Arabidopsis thaliana: one gene and its partner. The protein of the gene in region 2 interacts with the protein of the main gene of each other region in a pairwise test. Each region holds a gene or a part of one and is shown on either strand. Other genes may lie near its edges. The genes, in order: PRE1 and PAR2.

Region 1 (10,367 bases), on a different chromosome or scaffold from region 2:
AGATAAGGGGAAAGAGAGCAACCCTGACGTAGACCTCTTGAACTTTGAAAATAGCCTGCCAATTCTCCATTGACTTGCACCGAAAAAGAAGCCGTAGTAACACAAAGCATAACCCAATGAACAAACTCCGGTGGAAAGTCCAAAGCCAACAAAACGTTTTTAAGAAATGACCACTGAACAGAATCAAAAGCCTTCGAAATGTCGATTTTAATAGCACATCGACCCGAAATTGTGTCCTTGTGATAGTCCTTTACTAACTCTGTGGCTAATAGCAGATTCTCAATTAGGAGCCGGTCTTTTACAAATGCAGATTGGTTTCCCGCGATGAAATTCGGGAGAACATGTTTCAATCTATTTGCAATGATTTTTGAGATGACTTTATAAATGACGTTGCAGCACGATATCGGTCGATAGTCTTTCATTTCTTTCGCCTCCAGTTTCTTTGGGATGAGAGCTAGAATGGTAGTATTAACACCCTTTGGTAGAAAACCCTTTTCAAAAAATGATTTGACTGCCAAAACAAATTCTGCACCAATTATATCCCATGCCTGCTTGTAGAATTCAGAAGTGTAACCGTCCGGACCCGGAGATTTATCATTTGGCATTGAGAATAAGGCTCCCCTTATCTCTTCTGCTGAAACTGTTGCAGTGAGCATATCCTTTTCCGCTGTGGAACAACGATAAGGCAATAGAGATGTTAATTTCTCCACTGCTATTCCCTCATAATCATTCGGGATTAGCTGAAGAAATTCTCGAAAAAACCTTTCAGCCTCGTTCTTGATATCATCTTTAGTTGTGGCAGTACTACCATCTTCCTTCTGAATTTCGCGAATAGAGTTTTGAGCTGCTCTAGCGGTTGCTGCGCGATGGAAAGTTTTATTGTTTTTATCCCCAACCTTTAACCAATGAAACTTTGATACCTGCTTAAGATACTTCTCTTCAATGCTAGCTATCCTGTCCCAACGATCATAAGCTTCCGATTCTATTTCCATAGCTCTTTGAGATGGATTTTGTGAATTACTCTGTTGCGCCTGACAAAGACTGAGATAGGTTTCTCTCGTCCTTTTCACCAAATTGCCCATTTTTTCCTTCGCCAAGCCTCGAAGTTTTGGTTTAAGAGCCTTGAGCTTCTTAGTGAACCGGAACAGGGACGACGTGGACATGTGTATAGGCTCTGTTTCTGTCCAAAAATTTTCCACCAAAGGTTTAAACTCCTCCATATCGGCCACAGCATTCACAAACTTAAAAGGCTTATTTCCTCTCACTTGTGCACCAGAGTTCATATTTAAAATTGATACGACACCGTAAATGGTCAGAACACCCTCCCGCTTCAAAAACATTATAAGATTGTGGGTAGACCATCTTCCAAGCCTCATTCACCATAACTCTATCCAGTTTTTTCCAAATTGGGTCATTATCTCTCTTATTGCACCAAGTAAAAAGGGCCCGTGAGATGCCAAGTCTGAGAATGAGCAGTAGTTCACCAAAGACTGAAAATCTCGCATACCGGAGGTAACTGCTGGGTGATCTTCCATTCGAGAGTGCTCATCCATATCCAAAATTTCATTAAAATCTCCAAAAATTATCCATGGTTTATCACGAATGATCGGAGAGTCCATATGATCGGTGAGATGATTTTAATATATGAGTACTTGGAAAACTCAGCCTCGATAAGTATATATTCGGTTAGTGCCTCACAGTTTAAGTAGTTGTATTAAGAGTTATTGAAAAGAAACTAATGTGATTTTGGTTGTGACATTTTCTTAGACAAAAACCAAAGCTCTAAGCTAAACTGGGAGAAGAGGGTCCAAATAATTAATGGAATCTCTCGGGGACTTTTATATCTTCACCAAGATTCGCGGCGTCCTATTGTCCATAGAGACCTAAAACCGAGCAACGTCTTACTTGACCAAGATATGGTTCCGAAGATATCAGATTTTGGGATGAGTAAACTCTTCGACAAGCGTGCGACAGCAGCTAACACAACAAAGATCGTCGGAACTTAGTAAGCAAACAAACTATCATCGTTACATTTGAAAATAAAGCAAACACTTTACAAAACCTCACAATTGTGTTTCTTGTTGCTTGACAAAGCGGCTATATGTCTCCGGAATACGCGGAGGAAGGGATTTATTCAACAAAGTCAGATGTTTTCAGCTTCGGAGTCTTGCTTCTTGAGATTATATTTGGGGTTAAAAACAGAGACTTTTATAGATACTCGGAGAACGACGAAAGTCTTATTACATATGTAAGTGTAATAATCATCCAAAGCATTTTCGTCTTTTTTTTATATTTTTTATTGTGATTGATATAAACGCTTAAAGCTTTGTTTATGATGAATAGATATGGAGGAATTGGAAGGAAGGTAAAGGGCTCGAAATCATAGATCAAATTATCCTTGATTCATCAACATTTCAACAACACCAAGTTAAAAGATACATACAGATTGGTCTCTTGTGTGTTCAAGAATGTGCTGAGGATAGGCCCACGATGCTATCAATCTCTGTCATGTTCGCAAGCGACACAATAGAGATCGCTCCGCCTGGACCGCCTGGTTATTTAGTCCGTAAAAGTCAACTTGAGACTGGTTCCTCCTCGTCACGAAAGAAGCGAAACGAAGAATCTTGGACTGTGGCAGAAGTAACCTATTCGGCCATTGGACCTCGGTAGTCCAACGACGTGTTTCGCAAGGAACTTTATTTATGGGAGAAAGATTCTAAAAGTTGTTTCCCCGTGTAGGAAGTATCTTGGAAATTGATTAAAAAAAAAAAAACATAACAGAGTACTGTAATTTGTATTTTATATTGTTTTAGCCTGTTTTACTATAAAGAAAACATAACTTAATGACGTTTACACTAACTTAGCTAAAACCTCCATAACCAAAGCTTCACTCTCTAAGCTTCTTGAGTCTTTGGTTGAAATAATCAACAAATCTCCACCTCGACAAACGGTTACATCTAATATTCATTTACCTGCTTCTGATGTCATTACACAACTTTGTCCTTACACAATATGTCAGTAGGATTGACCAGAGAGTACCAATCTTGGTCATATCCCTTATGAAGTGTAGCTCAACTTCTATATGTTCCCGTTTCATATTTTTAGACAAACATATATAGCTCTTGGACTGTCACAGTTCACTTCATATTTTGATTGCAAAGAACCAATTATTATAGCAATCTTTTTATCCAAATTGTTTCCTTGATGCTCTCTGTAAGAGTCATATTCATATATATACTCTGCTTTTGTGGTGGATAAGGACAACGTGTTGCAAGCATCATCTCCAATTTTCAAGATACAAAAGATTGCTGTTAAAACAGAGAAATAGAAAACAGAGTGTTTGATAAGTTTGTGTGAAACTTGTGTCGCTGTGGAGTTTGGGGAGAGATCACCTTGGAAAGACTTCTCCAAGAAGAATTCATACATGATTAAAGGGAAGTAAAATGAGTTTACTTGTTAACCTTAGTTCATGTTCTTAGATACAGATGTATTTGAATTTACTGTAGAAATTCTAAGTATATCTTTTACTTCTTGAAGTGATCTAATAAACTTTTGTTGCAGCCGAGGACTAGTGGTTGGTTTGAAAGAGAACCAACCGATACCTTGTTAAATATTGTGTCGTTTCGTTATTGCTCTATTGTTTAAATCGTTTCCGCTATTTAATTATTCTATTTAGTATATCTCAAAATTTTACAATAATAATTCAAAAAGGGTACAAGACCTGAAAATTGTATCTATGTAACAAGAAAAAAAAATTAAGATCGTTTTAGGTGGAAGAGTGTAACAAAGCTAGTCTCTGAATGCTCTCCTTTTTCATGTAATTCTTCTTGTGATTATTTTTATAGCTATATGGCTTAAAATTAGGAGTCGGATTTGACCAGTCTCCTAAACCCTGAAAGGACCAAACCGGTATAGCTATATGGCTTAAAATTAGGAGTGATAGATTTGACCAGTCTCCTACGCCTTGAAAGGACCAAACTTGTCTAAATGTATGTACATGGGTGCATGTATATCAATATGCGTATACGTGTGTTTAAACTTTAAACTACATGCATGTAGAATTATGAGATATCAAATAAAACTATAACGTTGATTTTTATTTAATTTCTTTGTGTGGACGTCCTAAAAGGCAAAACTTTCCTTTAGATGTGTATAAACGTTTTTGTGACAGTTAAGATGGGGTTTCTTTTCCCCTCCAAAATGGCTAAGAGTTTATTTGATTTTGTCTTCTATTTCTATTTTTGCTTTTTATCTCTATTTTGAGGTTTAGATGATTTGTTACCTCAAAAACAATGTGCCAAATAACTTTTTTTATTCCGTATAAAATTAAATGCTCGCAACTAACAATGTCCTCTCGCAATTTTACTGTCCTTGACTGACACAATCGAGTTCAGACATCACAATCTCTGTTTTTTTTTTCTTTGTTAGGGAGAAAAAAAGAAAGATTCTTCTCCACCAAATTTCATCCCACTGGTTTATTTTAATAATGCACCTGCTAAGGCAATGCTCGTGCAGTTCTGCTACACACATATATGTCGGAGACTTTTGACTATGGAATTAACCCTATGAAATTCGTATGTCATTAAAGATCAAGCCCATCTCTTTGAATTTTACATAATAAGACGATTATGTTAAAAATATAATTATTATAGAGCGATCATTTAAGATTACATGGATAGGCTTGTCAAAAACAAACAAAAGAACAAAAAAGATTACATGAGTAGGCTTCTAATAACGGCGGCTTCAGGGCTATCTTCATCGACAGATTCGAGAAGCTGAGACAAACGCTCGCTCAGATTGTCAACTTCTCTGTTCAAATTTCGTATGTAATTGCATGTCTCTTGCAATACTTTCGAGGCTGATGCCTTCAACAACAAAAACGAAATAAAATCATAATCATTATAATATATGTTTTTTGAACCAATGCATGCGCTTTTATGCGTTTGCAGATGCATGCAAGCTGATGATTTTGATGTAATCTCTTATGTAAATATGGAAGAAAAAGGTTGTGAATATTGGTATATATGTTCCTTAATGTCCGGAGTCAAAAGTTCCGACTTCTTTTTTCTTTCTTGTTTGATTTTAGTGTCCACTCTTCTTTTTACAAAACTTTTGTTCTTTCCTTTTTTGGATAGGTTTACACGATGGATAATGTTAAATGGTCGTTATAAATGAATATATGCATATATTATGCGTGATACCTTATCAGAACGACGTCGTTGACCAATCTCCGGCAAAATTTGACGGAGCTTAGATACGAGGTCAATCATTTGATTATCGGAGATCCTTGGAGCACTTGAAGATTGCCTTGATCTTCTGTTCGACATGTTCAACAATGTGGCAAGAAAAGACCCTAACTAAGTTGTGGATTCTTCTCTCTTTCTTTACTTCTCTCACACTAGCTCAAACAAGTTCTATTGAGAAATAGAAATAGAGATATAATGAGATCGGCTATGTCTATGTGGCAAGTAGGTGTAAGCTTTTATGATTTTATAAGGTTTTTATGCTGAAAGGAAACGACCAAGAAGAAAGAAAAACTAGAGAGCAAGAAGAAAATAGAGAAGAGAATGAGAAAAGTGTTTTGGGGTTTTGAATACACTTCAAATATAAAGAAATTGAGAATGTGATAAGAGAGATTTAAATAGGCCAATGGACCACAAGAGAGAGAGAGCGACGGAGAGCAGCAATAAACCTCGACAATGATGTCACGGGAGAAGAAAGCGATAGATTGAATGCCCTTAAACCACAAAACTTCGAAATCATTTTTTATTACAGATTTCCAAGCCGTATATATACATATCATCAGTCGAGACTATTACCAATCATTATACGAAGGTAATGGCGGGATTGAATTATTTCACAACGTTTTCAATCATGGTTAGTTAGTTATTGTGTATAGTTCAAATGATACACAAGTTTCAAGATTCGTAACTTTTTAGGATTTTGTGGAAAATAAGTCTTGAAATCGTCCATTTCTACTTTCAGAAAATATAGAATAATTTTACAAAGTGAAAAATACTACGCAATATAACATTTTTTGCTATTGTCAGATTTCGTCAAGTTTTAAAAAAATTGAGAAGTATTATATCAAATCGAAGCCCTCGAGACAAAGAGTTCAACTCTTCTTTAATTTAGATTTTTTAAAATGTATGTGATCGTGAATACGTTTACAATATATGTATAAGGAATATATTGCGTATTATTTTTGTTTTTTTATGATTATTCTGCATATTTTAGAAGTAGAGGGTAAAATTACAAAAATAGATTTCTCTTAGGATTTGTTTTACCAAAACCCCAACTTTTTATGCCTCAACTATCCAAAAAAAAAGAAAATGATTATGACTAGAATGGATCACAAATATACATATGCTTAGTTATTGAAAATTTTACAGTATAATTCCTATAGAGTGGATAAATAAATGGGTACTAAATTTTTTGAATAATTGGAGGAGATTTGAATAGTTAAATGGAGGAAACGAAAAGTTCCCAAAGATGGGGTTGATGAAGGTCAAGATAAGTGTTTCATGTTCATCTAACATTGTGGCCCTTCATCTGCAATTTCACAAAAAGGCAACTACCATGTGATGACATGACTTTTCATTCAATTTTTTTTCTTCTAATATTAGAACTAGTATTATCGCCTAAATTGTCTCTCTAAATTTGTATTCCACAATATCTAGGTACAGTTTGTATATTTATCTGTAAATCTTGTATATTACCAAACTATATATTTTAAACTTGTATAAAATATATAGTTCCAAACTTGTATAAAAAAGCATAGAGAGAATTATGTAAATTCTATCTTCCATACTAACTACATTTGTTTTAGAAAGGAAGAAGCCTAATTATTGACTCCTATGGAACATTGTTTTCTAACTGCTAAGCCATAAATAGTTTCACCTCATATGTAAAATATTTCGTGTGATAACTTTTAAAAAATTATAGAATGTCAATGTAACTTAAAAATAGTAGATATAAAACAAATATTTTCTATAAAAGGATTATTGTTGATTTTGCCGTTTTCATCAAAATCTTTTGAAAAAGTCATTTTTACTAAAATTTTACGAAATTGTCATTTTAGTACTTATAAATGTACGTATTTACGATATTATTTTTACAAAAATAAGTATTTTATATTAAATGCTAAACTTAAAAAACAAAAAAAAAACTCGACTAAACCTTAATATAACGAATAAAAGCTATGCTAAATTTCATTTTTTAGACTGAAAAAGAGCAAAATCCACAAATTATTTAAAAAATGACAAAATCCATAAATATCATTCAAAAAATGGTAAATCCATAATTAATTCTTTTATAAAACGTGAAAAGGAAACCAAATGCTTAAAAGAAACGTATCTATCGGCTTTAAAACTTCGTTCAGACCATTTATTTCAAACTTCTTCGCACACTTACACTTTGCCTAAAATAATTTATTTAAAGAATTTTTTTATTTTGAAGTGAATAAAATCGCATGTCTCATATAACTTAATTTAATTGTTCGATTGGTCCATTATTGGTTGAGTATTAATTTATATAAATGTTCACAAAACATCGACTATGTCACGTGTCACCACCATGTCTCGTGTTACATGCTGCCCTCGGGTCCATAAGATCAAAATTTTAGATATCTTGTTGTCCAATAACATTATCAATAAAGATCCGACAAGTATGTAACAGTCGAATACAATTATCTGTTTGAACATATTATTATTATTATGAAAGGTTATATAAATTTCGAAATCCCTCATTATCCCTCAAAATATTTCGTTTGTGTGGTGTATTAATTTATCACAACATTCTATTTCATTAGTAATTCAATAACAGTTTAATATATTCTCACCAACAAGAAAATATAAGTGAGAATGGTTCTCTTCCGACAGGTTTGCATGACATGGATCGGATTATATTCATAGTTAACGAAATCAATGTTACGTTACGTTACTTATTAAAAGTACTTTTTGCTCAATATATACTAAATATATAAGAAAATTATTTTCTCCATCGTTGTGCTTGTTATATAGCCAAACATTTCATTACTCTAACCGATATCATCCGACATGAAATTCACACTTATAATTCAAGAGAATGACAACAGTATAGTAAGTACACCATATATATGTCAATGATCTATCCACCACAAAAATTCAACGAGAACATTAATTCATACAATTTTTTAATAAAGCACATAATTAAAGAAAACATTTATCAATTTTTCTTATATGTGTGAATACAAGAATATATATAAAAGTGTGTTGGTGTGTGTGTGTGTGTTTTATATATACAAGATTATTAAAGAAAGTGACCATTCTAATAAATTGCAAAGGGAGATTTTACATGTTAGTCCATGTGGGTTCGGGTACTAAATGTTTGGTCTCATAGGCTCCACAATGTTTTTGTGTCTACTTTTTCGCAATTAATTCACATCTTTACAAACATGTTGTAAAAAACACGAGTAATCATGTGGAAATGAAGGACTCGTTAAATAAGTAATTTATAAAAACTCACTTTGGAAAAGTTGAGCAATTTTTTTTTTTTCCAATGAATTACAAAAACACTATAGTACGATAATATGCATTAATGGCACCAATCATATCTTCGCAGTGAATAAAATAACAATTAAAAAAAAACATTGAAAAAGTCGTCAAAACGGCATCTTCGATTCTATGTTCAAAGATTTGAATTATTCAATTATATTTATAAATATTTGATCAGGTCGAAATATACAACACACATAAGATGTCCAACAATTATATTTATAACTGCGAAATGTTTCTCTGGATTTAGCATGAGTATTCGAATTACGCTGGAAATGTCGAACAAATTCCACGGATAACATGTCCCTTGATAAGAATTGTTTCGCCATCATATATTCACATAATCACATCACAAACAAAGCATCGACAGATTGTGTAGTGTGTGTGCACACACGTAAAACGGTAGACTTTTGCCGTGTTACTACAATGGCAATTAAGAAGATACTGATACATCTATGTAATTCTATCTATTTACAGTAAGTATCATTAAGAAAGTACATTAAATTTAATTCCATATTTTCTAAATTCAAATTGAAGACTCTAGGTAAATAGGGATTCTTGTCTAAAATGCCGTTTAAAAAAAAAATCTAACAATAATATTTTGAATAGTTTACGAATTCTGCCATTTTTTAACACTTAAGTGTACATATTACGAATTGTTTTTGCAAAAATATGTCTTTTATATAAATTAAAATGATTAAATCCAAACGAGTAAAACGCATCTTAAATCACATTTTTGTTGTCTTAAAATATACAAAATCTACAAACTATTCAAAAAATGGCAAAACCAACAATTAAGTTAAATTAAATACTTTACAATTAAGTTAAGGATCATTTTTACGGAGTGACTCCAATTTATTAAAAGAAAATACTTCAATGGTAATAAAGTTTTTTTATTTTGATATATTTATCTAGTTAAGAAAAAAATCATTTTTACTGAGTGACTCTAATTTATTAAAAGAAAAGACTTCAATAGTAAATAAATTTTTTACTTTGGTATATTTATCTAGTTAAAAAAAGGAATTTAAATGATATATCTACACGAAGATCTGGATTTTTCACTCGTATATTTTTCAATAGTAGGTATCAACTCTTAATAATAAGGAATACGTAACACATTATGGTCCAGGTATAGACCAATATATATTTCATGGTCCCCTTTAACCATTTTTCTCTCATAATTATTACACAATCATGCTTTGCATAGGCTTCTCCAAAACAATGAGCCTCATGCTCATCAACAGCAAAAAAGCTTTACTATCTAACTAAATCTATTCATTATATTGTTTTAGTCTTACCTTAGATCGGGAATTACATCACTCTACAAATGTGGTGGGGAAAATTACGTATGTTGTTTACATAATCTGATAATCATAAATAAGAAAAGGATATCTTATTTGAAATCGTTTAAGAGGGGGTATTGGACGCATGAGTTTGATAGAATTTAATAGAATCATAAATTCTGGTGTTATTCAAGTAGAGATTTTACAAATTCTTTTAAACTCTTGTGTTATTAAACTTACTCATTTCTTAATTCTATTAATTGCAATTGTTATTCAAGTTTATGTTGAAATTGTATGCCATCGTTACTTGACAGGAATTTAATAGAAAATTTAGTTTAAAATGTGAAGAACAAATTCTCTGGTTTTGAGTTGAGATTTTGATAGAATATTTCAACACATCCAAAATTCATCGTCTACTTTTCTCCTTCATATGCTTTTCTCAAATCTGAGGGAGAGTGTTATTAATCTAACACATCTACAATTTGTGATCTCATGATCCGGCTAATTGCTCGTCAGATCATCATCCATTAGATTATATTGAGGGGGAGAG
Region 2 (9,992 bases):
AGAATACAACAAGTTATCGAGTTGCAACGTCGAACTCCTTGTGACTGATTACTTTTACTTCTCTGAGAAGTGGACTGCAAAAGGAAGAATTCTCTGACAAAACAAAACTTGCTCAAAGTTTTGTCAAAGGTCCCATGGAAATTCATTCCGGTTCTTTTGTTTAATTGGCTTGAAAACCGTTCAAAAAACCAAACCAATTGCAAAACCATTGAACTTTCTTATTCTTTTTCTCCGAATGTTTATAGTAATTTACTATCGATGGCTTACTTCAATTGATTCTTCGCCACAAATTTGCTGAGTTGTTCTTTGTGACGTCTTTACCTTTTTTTTTCGAATGACGTGGCTAATAAGCTACAACATACCAATCATCTTAAGCTCAATATAGGAAGACTTAACCGTTTTCATCGCAAAAGATATACAACTTTTTTCCGAAACATCACATTTTTTTGATTCCATACCTCTTTGCGTAAATGTTCTTTTAACTATGAAGACCCCTGATATGAAGATCTTGCGGGTATAAAAATACAAGTACAATATCAAAAATGGCATTTTTTATCATGATGCATTTGGCCAAAACCCAAACTCAAAATTTCAATTACAAAAAAAAAACAAGGAACAAAGTTGTTGTTGCAATAGCAAAATGAGAATCCTTCTTACAAATCTGATGGAACTTTAACAAACTGTGTTATATCTGATACCAAACTATGATCCACAGGCTTCAAACCTTTTCTCAACCAACGTTTCAACAAGGCCAACTCTAATCTCCTCACCTGCAACAAAAAAAATGAAATAACCCCATTCAGCTATATTGTACAACATTTTTGGAAAGCTAAAAGTGAGATGCAGAAAATAGTTATGTGCTTACTTCCCCTGAATCAGTAAACCAAAGTGTACAGTTAAGGAAGAGGAGATAAAAACCAACCTGTCTAACAATGAAAGGCTCCTCAGCTCGACTCAAAGGCTCGGTTAATACGGTTAGAAATCCGTTTCTGTTCCCGTAAACGATATCTGTGAAAGGTCGATCACCCACCTGCCCACAAACACTTAAACACATAAAGATCTTATCTACCAAAAATCAAATTACCAGTTTAATCCCTAACACTCATCATGAAATTACCATGATTAGCTCTGAAGATGTGCAACCAAAGTGTTTCTCAACTTCTTCAGCAGTTCCTGCAGGCTTCTTCACTCCTAAAATCATGATTCAAAAACAATCCTTATCAGTTACAATGCTAAAACATCCAAGGTAACCACAGTAGATCAGAACAAGTCACTTACTATGCCTCAACACTCTAATTCCTATTTCAGCCTCCAATGCTTTAGCTTTCGAATCATCATGATCGTATTCCGTGAGCCCTGATAGTATTTCACCAAACCCGAAAGTAAACAAAAGATGTTAGCTTAAACTCCAACAAAAACCAGACAAACAAACAAAAAAAATTCAAAACTTTATCCAAATGTTACCAGCGGAATTGCTAAACACGGCGATGTCATGGCCAAAAACGGCTTTACACCGCTCAATGGAAGGACGTAATGGTGGCCAAATCGCTAGAGAATAAGGAGCCGTAAGAGTGTTATCTTTATCAAACACTACACCTTTGAAGCCCTTTCTCTTCAGCACTTCCCAATCAATGTATCTTAAATCTTTCACAGAAACATGCGGAAGAACAAATTGACGATCTTTAACAACAACGGAGACCGAAGAAACGATACCCTCAATATTGATTCGTTGCCCAAGAGCCGCTTTCAGATCTGCCCACCACATGTTCGACGAAATTGCCAACCCTTTGTTGTTGTCTTCTACTCTCGGCAACACCAATTCGCGTGGCTCTCCGTCGAATTGTTCCGGGATCCGGTTAGAGAATCCTGGGTCTTCGGTGGGAGAGCTAAATTGGTAAAGAAGAAACGAATCTTCAAACGTGGGTAGACGCAGATTCTGCTTTTGGCTTCGATGGGTTGTCGTCGTTTGCAGAGGAGACGAAGAAGAAGACGAAGGAGGAGGAGGAGAGCAAATGGGTTTGGTGGAGCAGGAGATGAGATTAGGGTTTCGTTTGTGACGAGGAGGAGAAAGAAGGAAGCTTTTGGGGATTGGGTAGTAGGAAGTAGTGGAGGCAGCCATCGATGGGGTCTGCATCTCAGCCTTCTTTATAATAAATATTGTTGTTTTACTTTTATTGACCCTAAAATGTAGTTGTAAGTTGTTTATCGAGAATTTCCAGATTTCTTGGAGCTGTTTTAGAAAAATATGATGACTCTTTTCCTTCCACACGCTTTGATTTCCAAAAATATAAACGGACACTAGTCAAATTAACCTTAACAAATTGACAAGTCAAATTGTATGTTTTGCTCATGTGTCCCTCTTGTCTTAAAATGGTCACCTTTCAACACATTCATTTCATGGCATCTCCATCCACTATGCGTGTTGCAGATTTTGAAGTATCTGAATCCAAAAACGGTCCCTTGATATGCTCTTCCAAGAAGCAATTTTAAAACGGTTCTAATGTAAAGTTAGTACTCGTGGACTTAGGATAAAGAACTATACTGGCCAAGCAATTCTGTTTGAATCATGTTTCTCTTAAAATCCAGTAAATAGAAGACAAGAAGAAGTGATGACGAACGGTTCCGAAATGCATTTTGTGGCATATTATAAGGTGAAGTTTTTATCTGTTCCCATTCACAAAACCATGCTAGCCAAACTACCAACAAACATAACAAACTCAAATCCAAACCCAAAGAAATTTGTGGCAAACCTGTGTAAATCCATTCCTGAAATCAATCTTAAGACAGAGTAGAAGTGATAAAGAACAGTTACCAAATGCTGATCTCATCAACAAAAGTATGATAGCCAACAACCAACAAACATCACAAACTCAAATCCAAACCCAAAACAAATTTGTAGCCAACCTATATAATTCCATCCCAGATATCAATCTTAAGAACTTGGTCATCAGTTATTCTTTCACTAACATATTCATCAAAATCACCTTAGCTTAGAATAGCAGACGAAAAAGGTCGCTGCAACCAAACCAGCAGCTCCAACTGATCCAGCAGCAACCACTGGCCACTGATACTCAGCTTCCAAGGAACCCTTTTGGTCACCACCATTTGTGTCTCTGACTCCATTACTAGGCTTCATGGTTCTCTCATTCAAAGCAAAAACCGTCTTGTTACCTTCCTCAACCTTCTTCAGTAACTCGTCCTTCTTCAACTCCAGCTCCTTCTCTCGTTTTTGAGTTTCACTCAAAGCTTCCTCCGTGAGCTTCTTCTTAGACTTCCATTTCTTCAATTCTTCTACATTCTTCACCAATTCCAGATTCAAAACAATGACTGTCTTCTGCAATTCCTCAATCTCTCTCTTTTTCTCATCATCTATCTCCCTCATTTCCTCTTCTGATCTAAGTTTCTTACTCTTCTCCTCCATTTCCCTCACTTCCAAAACCCCAATCTTCCTTTCCAAATCCCTAACCCTCTTCTCAACCTCAGCTCTATCTTTCCTTAAACCCTCAGCTTCCTTCTCACACCCCTCCAGCTTCTCCACTATCTCCGCCAACGCTTTCTTCAGCTCCGCCACTTCTTCCGCCGTCTTATCCACTCCGTTCAAGGAAGTGATCAGATCGTCATGAAGATTCGACACCTCAGTTTCAAGCTCCACAGCTCTAGTAGAAATAGCTTCCAAAGCCTTCTTCTCTTCCTCGTACTCCTCGATCTCTTTCTCCATCTCTCCGAATCTCTGATTCATCTCCGCTTCTACGTCTTTCATCTCTTCAATTTCTCCCGTAAGCCTCTCTAACCTCTCCTTCAATTCACGATTCTCTCTCGTGAGCTCCTGATTCTTGTTCTCCATATCCTCAATCTTCCTTTCCAGTTCCGTCGTCTTTACACCACCTTGATCGTAGTCAGAGATCCCCTTCGCCGCACGATCTTCAACATCCGCCATTTACGCTTCTACTAGAGAAAATTCAACACAGAATTAAGACTCAATAACACGAATAACTCAACAAAATGTAAAGTTTGATGCTTTAGAGAAGAATCAGTCACTCTGACTTTTTCCCAGCAATCTCACACATCAATCATCATGATGATGATAATGACATTTCGTTAATCGGAAAAATCTGGTATGACGAATAACAAAAAAATAGTAAGAGAATTCTATTGAGGTTTACCTTCCGATTTTCCGGTGGAGGGATCGGCTAATCGGAAAGATTCGATTTTTAGGGTTTATACTTTACAGAGTGAGTGACAACAAATGGCGTTGAGAAATTGGGCGGTCCTGAATACCCACGTGTTTAAAGCAAGTCCACTTGGCTGCATCATTTTCAGTGATCTCTGTTATATGGGCCTTAAGGTCCATTAGTAGTTAAGCTCCATCAGGCCCAAATCGTTGCTTGCAGAGTTATTATTATTCTTGTTCGGTGAGTTCTATTTTGTCTTCCTTGTTTCATGAGTTTTATATATGTTTTTTTTGAACCTTATTGGTAATGCGCTCTATCAGACCCAAGTCTGCTATTATCGCTTGCAGAGTTATTATTGTTCGTTTATTCTTTGTTCGATGAGTTCTTTTTTTGGCTTCCTTGTTTCATGAGTTTATATGTTTTTTCTGACAATATTATTGGTGACTAAATATAAAGATAAAGAAAAAAATAATTATTTTTCACTTCTTTATTTGATGTAAATTAAATGTTAAATTTTATACCATTTTCATTTTCATTTTTTGGTGTAAATGTCAATTATTTTCATTTTATTGGCATGTGTTTTATCAAATCTAATGGCTGGAGCACCGAAAGTTATATACTTATATTACTTATATGAATTTGAGATATCAAAGGAGAAATTGTGGAGATAAAATTTTCATTTCTCGTAATATTTTGGAATAAAAACACATAAGATTGTTTTTTTTTTAAGAACTAAATTATGAACCCGAACTAAACAGCAATATATAAAAAAAAAAAATATAAGGTGAAAATAAATGAAAAAACAGAGAGAATTCCAAATTGTTTTTTTTTTTCTTCTGATTTTCAGAATTCTAAATTGTTTGTTCAATCTTCAACCTCCAAACTTCATATCTTTTTTCTCACAACGCTCAAGAAACGTAGTAAGAACTTTAATGGCATTGATCTGACATTGCAGAGCCAAAATGTAACTAGCTGTCTCTTCGAACAGCGCGTCGACACCAAGTTCCGTTCCTCCGGGAACTATTGTCTGAAGCGCCTCGATCTTCTCCTCCACTCCTTCTTCATCTTCATCTTCATCTTCTACGTCGGTCTCGCTTACACTCGCCGTTGCATCGGACAATCTCTGTCTGGTTCTGCGGTTGAAACCAGTGGAGCTTGTGTTCACGGCGGAGGATGGAGACGGAGGAGAAGAGCGTTTGGTATGGGAAGTGGCTAGGGTTTTCTCCATTGACGGAGGGAGAGAAGATGTGTTGGAAGAAAAGGAGTAAAGAGACCTGTGTGTATTTATATGAGTGATGTGAATTAGTAGATTGAAGTAGGACCGGTTAAAGTCATTCCGGTTCGTTTTACTTTGGTTTACTCTTGTTTGCCTTTAATGATTTGATTATGAGCTGAATCTTAGTGCGTTTGGTTAAGACTTTAGTTTAGTACTATGTTTTGGTTGTGCGATTTAGGTTTGGGGTTTGGCTATAATTTTGGAAATTGGGTAATGCCGGTATGCCATCAAAGCTGGGTCCAGTTGTGATTTTCTTTTCTTTTTTTGTTCTTGAGTGTTTCGAATTATGTGTTGGAGTGTTTGTTTTGTTGGTTTATTTATTAAGAGAGATTTTGGATCGTGATTGTCACGCGCTATGTTGTGTGGTTTAGTGGAGACGTCACTTTACTCAAGTGGATCTCCCTGAGGTCCTGACAGATAGATAGATTGTATCTTTATTTGTCTTTTAAAACACTATACATCACAAAAGTTTAATACATAATTGAAAATATGCGTGTCATTAACAAATTTGTAACATGCTTAGTTTAGTAATAATAGAGTTATCGACATGTGTTTAAAACTTAACCCAGACTTTGACTTGTGGGTCTTTGTTTTGTATTCTTTTCGGAAACATTAATGATGTGTTTGAATCAATATTTCACCATAAAGATAAGCTAGTTATTTGTATCTTACAACTTAATTATGCATGCATACGACAAATGCAATACATGCTCTTCATCCAGATTTCAAACCAAAAATGAATGAAAATATGTATTAGAGTTAGCTTGACCATTCTCTTATATAATCCATATTTTTTTTGGATCAGGCGATTTTTTAAAAAATGTGTTGAAGATATAAGATGATGCATGGACCTTAGAATGTGAGATTAAGAAAACAATCAATCTTAACTTGTAACTTATATATTGATTTGATTATCATATTAGGTTACATAATTAACATTTCAAGTTTCAAACTTGAGCTCAGCTTGACTTAAATCTAGTTAAGAATGGTATATTACTAATCACAAATTAAAGAGCTAATCCCACATACTCTCTCTCTCTCGCACGTTAGAAGAAGGGAGGAGAGGAATCACCTGCGACAGGTGCATGGGAGCAGAGGAGATGGGAGCCACAAAAGCTCCGTAAAAAAGGAAAAGAGAAAAGGAAAGCACATGTGCTCACATGAGTTTCTCCATCTATCTTAATATTAGCTCGCATGTGCCTCTCTTTCTTACTTCCACACACATTATGATACACTCTCTCTCTCTCTCTCTCTCTCTCTCTCTCTCTCTCTCTCTCTCTCTCTCTCTCTCTCTCTCTCTCTCTTTATAATAGGGAGAGGAATGAATTAATAGAGAGATACAGTTGTAGATAGTGAAGTGGTGGTGGTACTGGTACCATGATGATCTACTTAACTAGTTGCAGTTGCACAGAAGAAGATCCACATGATTTTCCATCTCGCATGGGAGCCACGTGACATCTTTTATGGAACCTACCTTTTCATTTCCTACTATTCTATCCCTAAATCTTTTGTCAACTCCCTTTTTTTTCACTATTTCCAAGAATTTCCAAGGAAGTGTTTATTATAGAGAAACCATTTAAAACAAAAAAAAAAGGAGAATAGAGAAAAGTCGTCCTCATGTCGGCATTAATCTTTGCACAATTCACTCGAGTTCATCCTCTTTTTTATTTTTTTCAACACAAGGCTATATTTTAATTTTTAAGTTTAACTACTTATTTTGTTATTCTTATTCTATGGATATAGTAACACTCCGTATTTACTAAATAGTTATACTAGATTACTAGTTACTTAAGAAGTTCCCTCACCATCATAAATCTAATGTTATTATATCGAAGTTTACAATTATAACTATATTAATAACTTAACAATTAATTTGATAATATATACTACAAGAGAAAAAATCGAGGGTAGGTGATGTTTCCAAGGAGGGAACGGAGAGGGGGTTGGTTTCTTGGGATTGAGATTATCAGTATTGGTTTCTTTCACCATCGACCAACCTGACACTTACGCCAATTCTAGTCTTTATATTGGTGGGTTAATACGATATTTATATCAATATGTACACAAACTTGCATCAATAATCGACCCTAAAAAGATCTACATAGCCAAAGCTCTACATAGCCAAAGCTCTCTTCTATTAGCATTGGTTAATCATTATTCAACCGCAACCTTTTCTGTCTTCTTTTTTTATTTATTTTTTTGATCAAACATTTTTTCTGTTTTTATAGTAAATGTTTTTTGGTCATCTAAATTAATAGTCACATCAATGGGGTTAGTTAATGTGCGTTGTTAAAACAAGAAATGGTGTTGAGAGATGAGATCATTGGTCTTTTTTGAGGGGAAGAATGGAAAAGAAAGTAAGATGAAGAGGACAAAAGACAAATGATATGTTATGGTTTTATTAGTTGCAGATTATTTGTCTTCTCATTTTGTGGGTGAGAAATATGGGCCAACCAAGTAGACCCAATACGACGGTTGATCTTTTGGGACAATGGTTACATGGGTGTGGATCCCATCTGCATCATACATTGTCTGTAAATCCGATTTTTTTTTTTTTTCTTCTAGCATGAATAGAATCATATGTTCATATTATTTCTGAATTTTTAAACCCACACCACGATCAAAACATCTTATAAGCTCCGATGGAAACCTTGTAATGTTATAATCGTCATCAAAAACAAATATTTTGATCTTCTCATATTACAAAATGATTAACAACTCTATAAAATTACTATTTTAAAAAACTAAAATTGCATTTTGAAGTGTCCAAATGTCCACTGGAACTTGGAGATAATGACATTATTTCAGAAATTAATTCGTTTTTGAATAGTCAATGAGGACCAGATTTGGTTAGATACGGTAAAGACGCAAATCACTAATTCCAAAAGAGAACGTGTTTGGATGTATTCGTTCTTCAGATGTTAATTGTTGCTGTATTAGCTCACATAAACAAAACAAAAGCAAATTCTACAAAAGGTCTACTACACACATTATACAAGAACATTAAATATGGTTTTCTTTGATGTAGAATAGATTTAAGTGTATAGTGCAGATTTTGTTTTTAATTGACTCCGGAAGAAGAAAACAAAGTAATGCTCGTGACATGGGCGATCCACTGCCACAGCCCACATGCGTCGGATCTGCCATGAGAATATCATCAACATCATAAGTGATTTCATCATAAAGATCATCATCATGTGCATGTGCAACGATCGCATATTCTCATCCTATCTGTCACCAGGTAAGTATGGCTACAACAAAGTTGTTTGTCCACAGCAGAAACAAAACAATTTTTTCTATAAAAAAAAACACGTAACAGTTTGTGTCGGTGATATTTTTGTACTAACAGGTTTGAAACATACGATATGTATTTGTTCCGAGCGATCAAAGCCAATTTTGGTATTAGTATACATTTTTGACATACTAGAACATATACTAGTATTCTGATTCACGTCCAAACGATAAAACACTAGAAAACAGAGGTATTGTAACCAAAGAGAGTCATTAATTATTCAACTAGGAAAGAACAAAAGTTTGTACTTCAAGCATTACTTAGTTTTCCCATAACACTTGATCATTCTCCTATTAAAAAGATAAAAAGTTCGTGCGTAGAGCATTCTCCTATTAAAAGCTAAAGATTGTGAAAACGTAAAATTTTGAAATTGTAGAGAAGCAGGAATGGTTCTGTCTAGTACATGAATCAAATCGTACTTAAGCAGAATAAAAAAAAAACTAAAAAGAGAAACAACGAAAGCAAGTTTCATCCTCCAAGACTTCATTTTCGAGTCCACCTCCAGTACAAGGGAGCCAGCACCCTGTAATTAATAGTGCAACTCGACATCTCGTTGTATTGCATCAGCGTATCCTCGACAATTTCAAGCCATTTAGGGATTTCAAACAGAGTAGGTTCCTTTGTTTCGACAATTATCTCCATCTCCTTCAAACTCGGACAAAAGTCCAAGAAATGCTTTATCATGTGCACCTCTCTGATTGTTCCTCTAAATCCTTGAATCTGTATCTTATTCACAGGGCAAGCCATGAGCGAGCGCCCTTTCTTCTTTCTAGGAATGCAGTCACAAACATCCCCGCATTTATTCGTGACAGTGTGCAAGAGTCCCTGAAAAAGCATAAAGGAGACTATAAGCGATTTCCAAAGTCCAAAGCGGGGAAACTAAGAAAAATGTTTTGGTGTTTTATACCCCAAGGTACAGAGTTTCCAAATTTGGACAGTTCTTTAGAAGAAGTGGCATTGCTTGCCATCCTTGCTGCATCACAGTCCTAATATTTAAAGTGGTAAGGTTTTTAAAAACCGGCATGGCTTCACAGGAAAGAGAGAGCACCTGAATCAAGAAACATTGTTATACAGTACTCCACGAATTGAGACAATGATCTTCGGCTTTCCTTCTTACAAAAAAACTAGCTGAAATAAGTGTTACATAGGAAACTTACCTCGAAAGTAACAGGGGATATGTGAAAGATCTCAGCGTTTTGTATTCCATGAATTAGGTTCCACACATTATCTCTTGCTCGATTGATTCGATCTG

Evidence for each region.
Region 1: the proteins of PAR2 (region 2) and PRE1 interact in a two-hybrid assay, tested with the Arabidopsis thaliana proteins (one study listed by BioGRID).

The regions. Positions count from the first base shown.
Region 1 is NC_003076.8:15,952,649-15,963,015, reverse strand, and holds PRE1 (basic helix-loop-helix (bHLH) DNA-binding family protein), read right to left. Parts: upstream 5,649-10,367; 5' UTR 5,328-5,648; coding exon 5,202-5,327; intron 4,866-5,201; coding exon 4,713-4,865; 3' UTR 4,457-4,712; downstream 1-4,456. UniProt on the Arabidopsis thaliana protein: Atypical and probable non DNA-binding bHLH transcription factor that integrates multiple signaling pathways to regulate cell elongation and plant development.
Region 2 is NC_003074.8:21,754,519-21,764,510, forward strand, and holds PAR2 (phy rapidly regulated 2), read right to left. Parts: upstream 5,873-9,992; 5' UTR 5,401-5,872; coding exon 5,044-5,400; 3' UTR 4,832-5,043; downstream 1-4,831. Other genes in the region: AT3G58820 (F-box/RNI-like superfamily protein), read left to right, coding at 1-97; AT3G58830 (haloacid dehalogenase (HAD) superfamily protein), read right to left, coding at 654-770, 923-1,030, 1,118-1,191, 1,279-1,356, 1,465-2,134; PMD1 (Tropomyosin-like protein), read right to left, coding at 2,981-3,937; AT3G58860 (F-box/RNI-like superfamily protein), read right to left, coding at 9,224-9,565, 9,648-9,788, 9,898-9,992. UniProt on the Arabidopsis thaliana protein: Atypical bHLH transcription factor that acts as a negative regulator of a variety of shade avoidance syndrome (SAS) responses, including seedling elongation and photosynthetic pigment accumulation.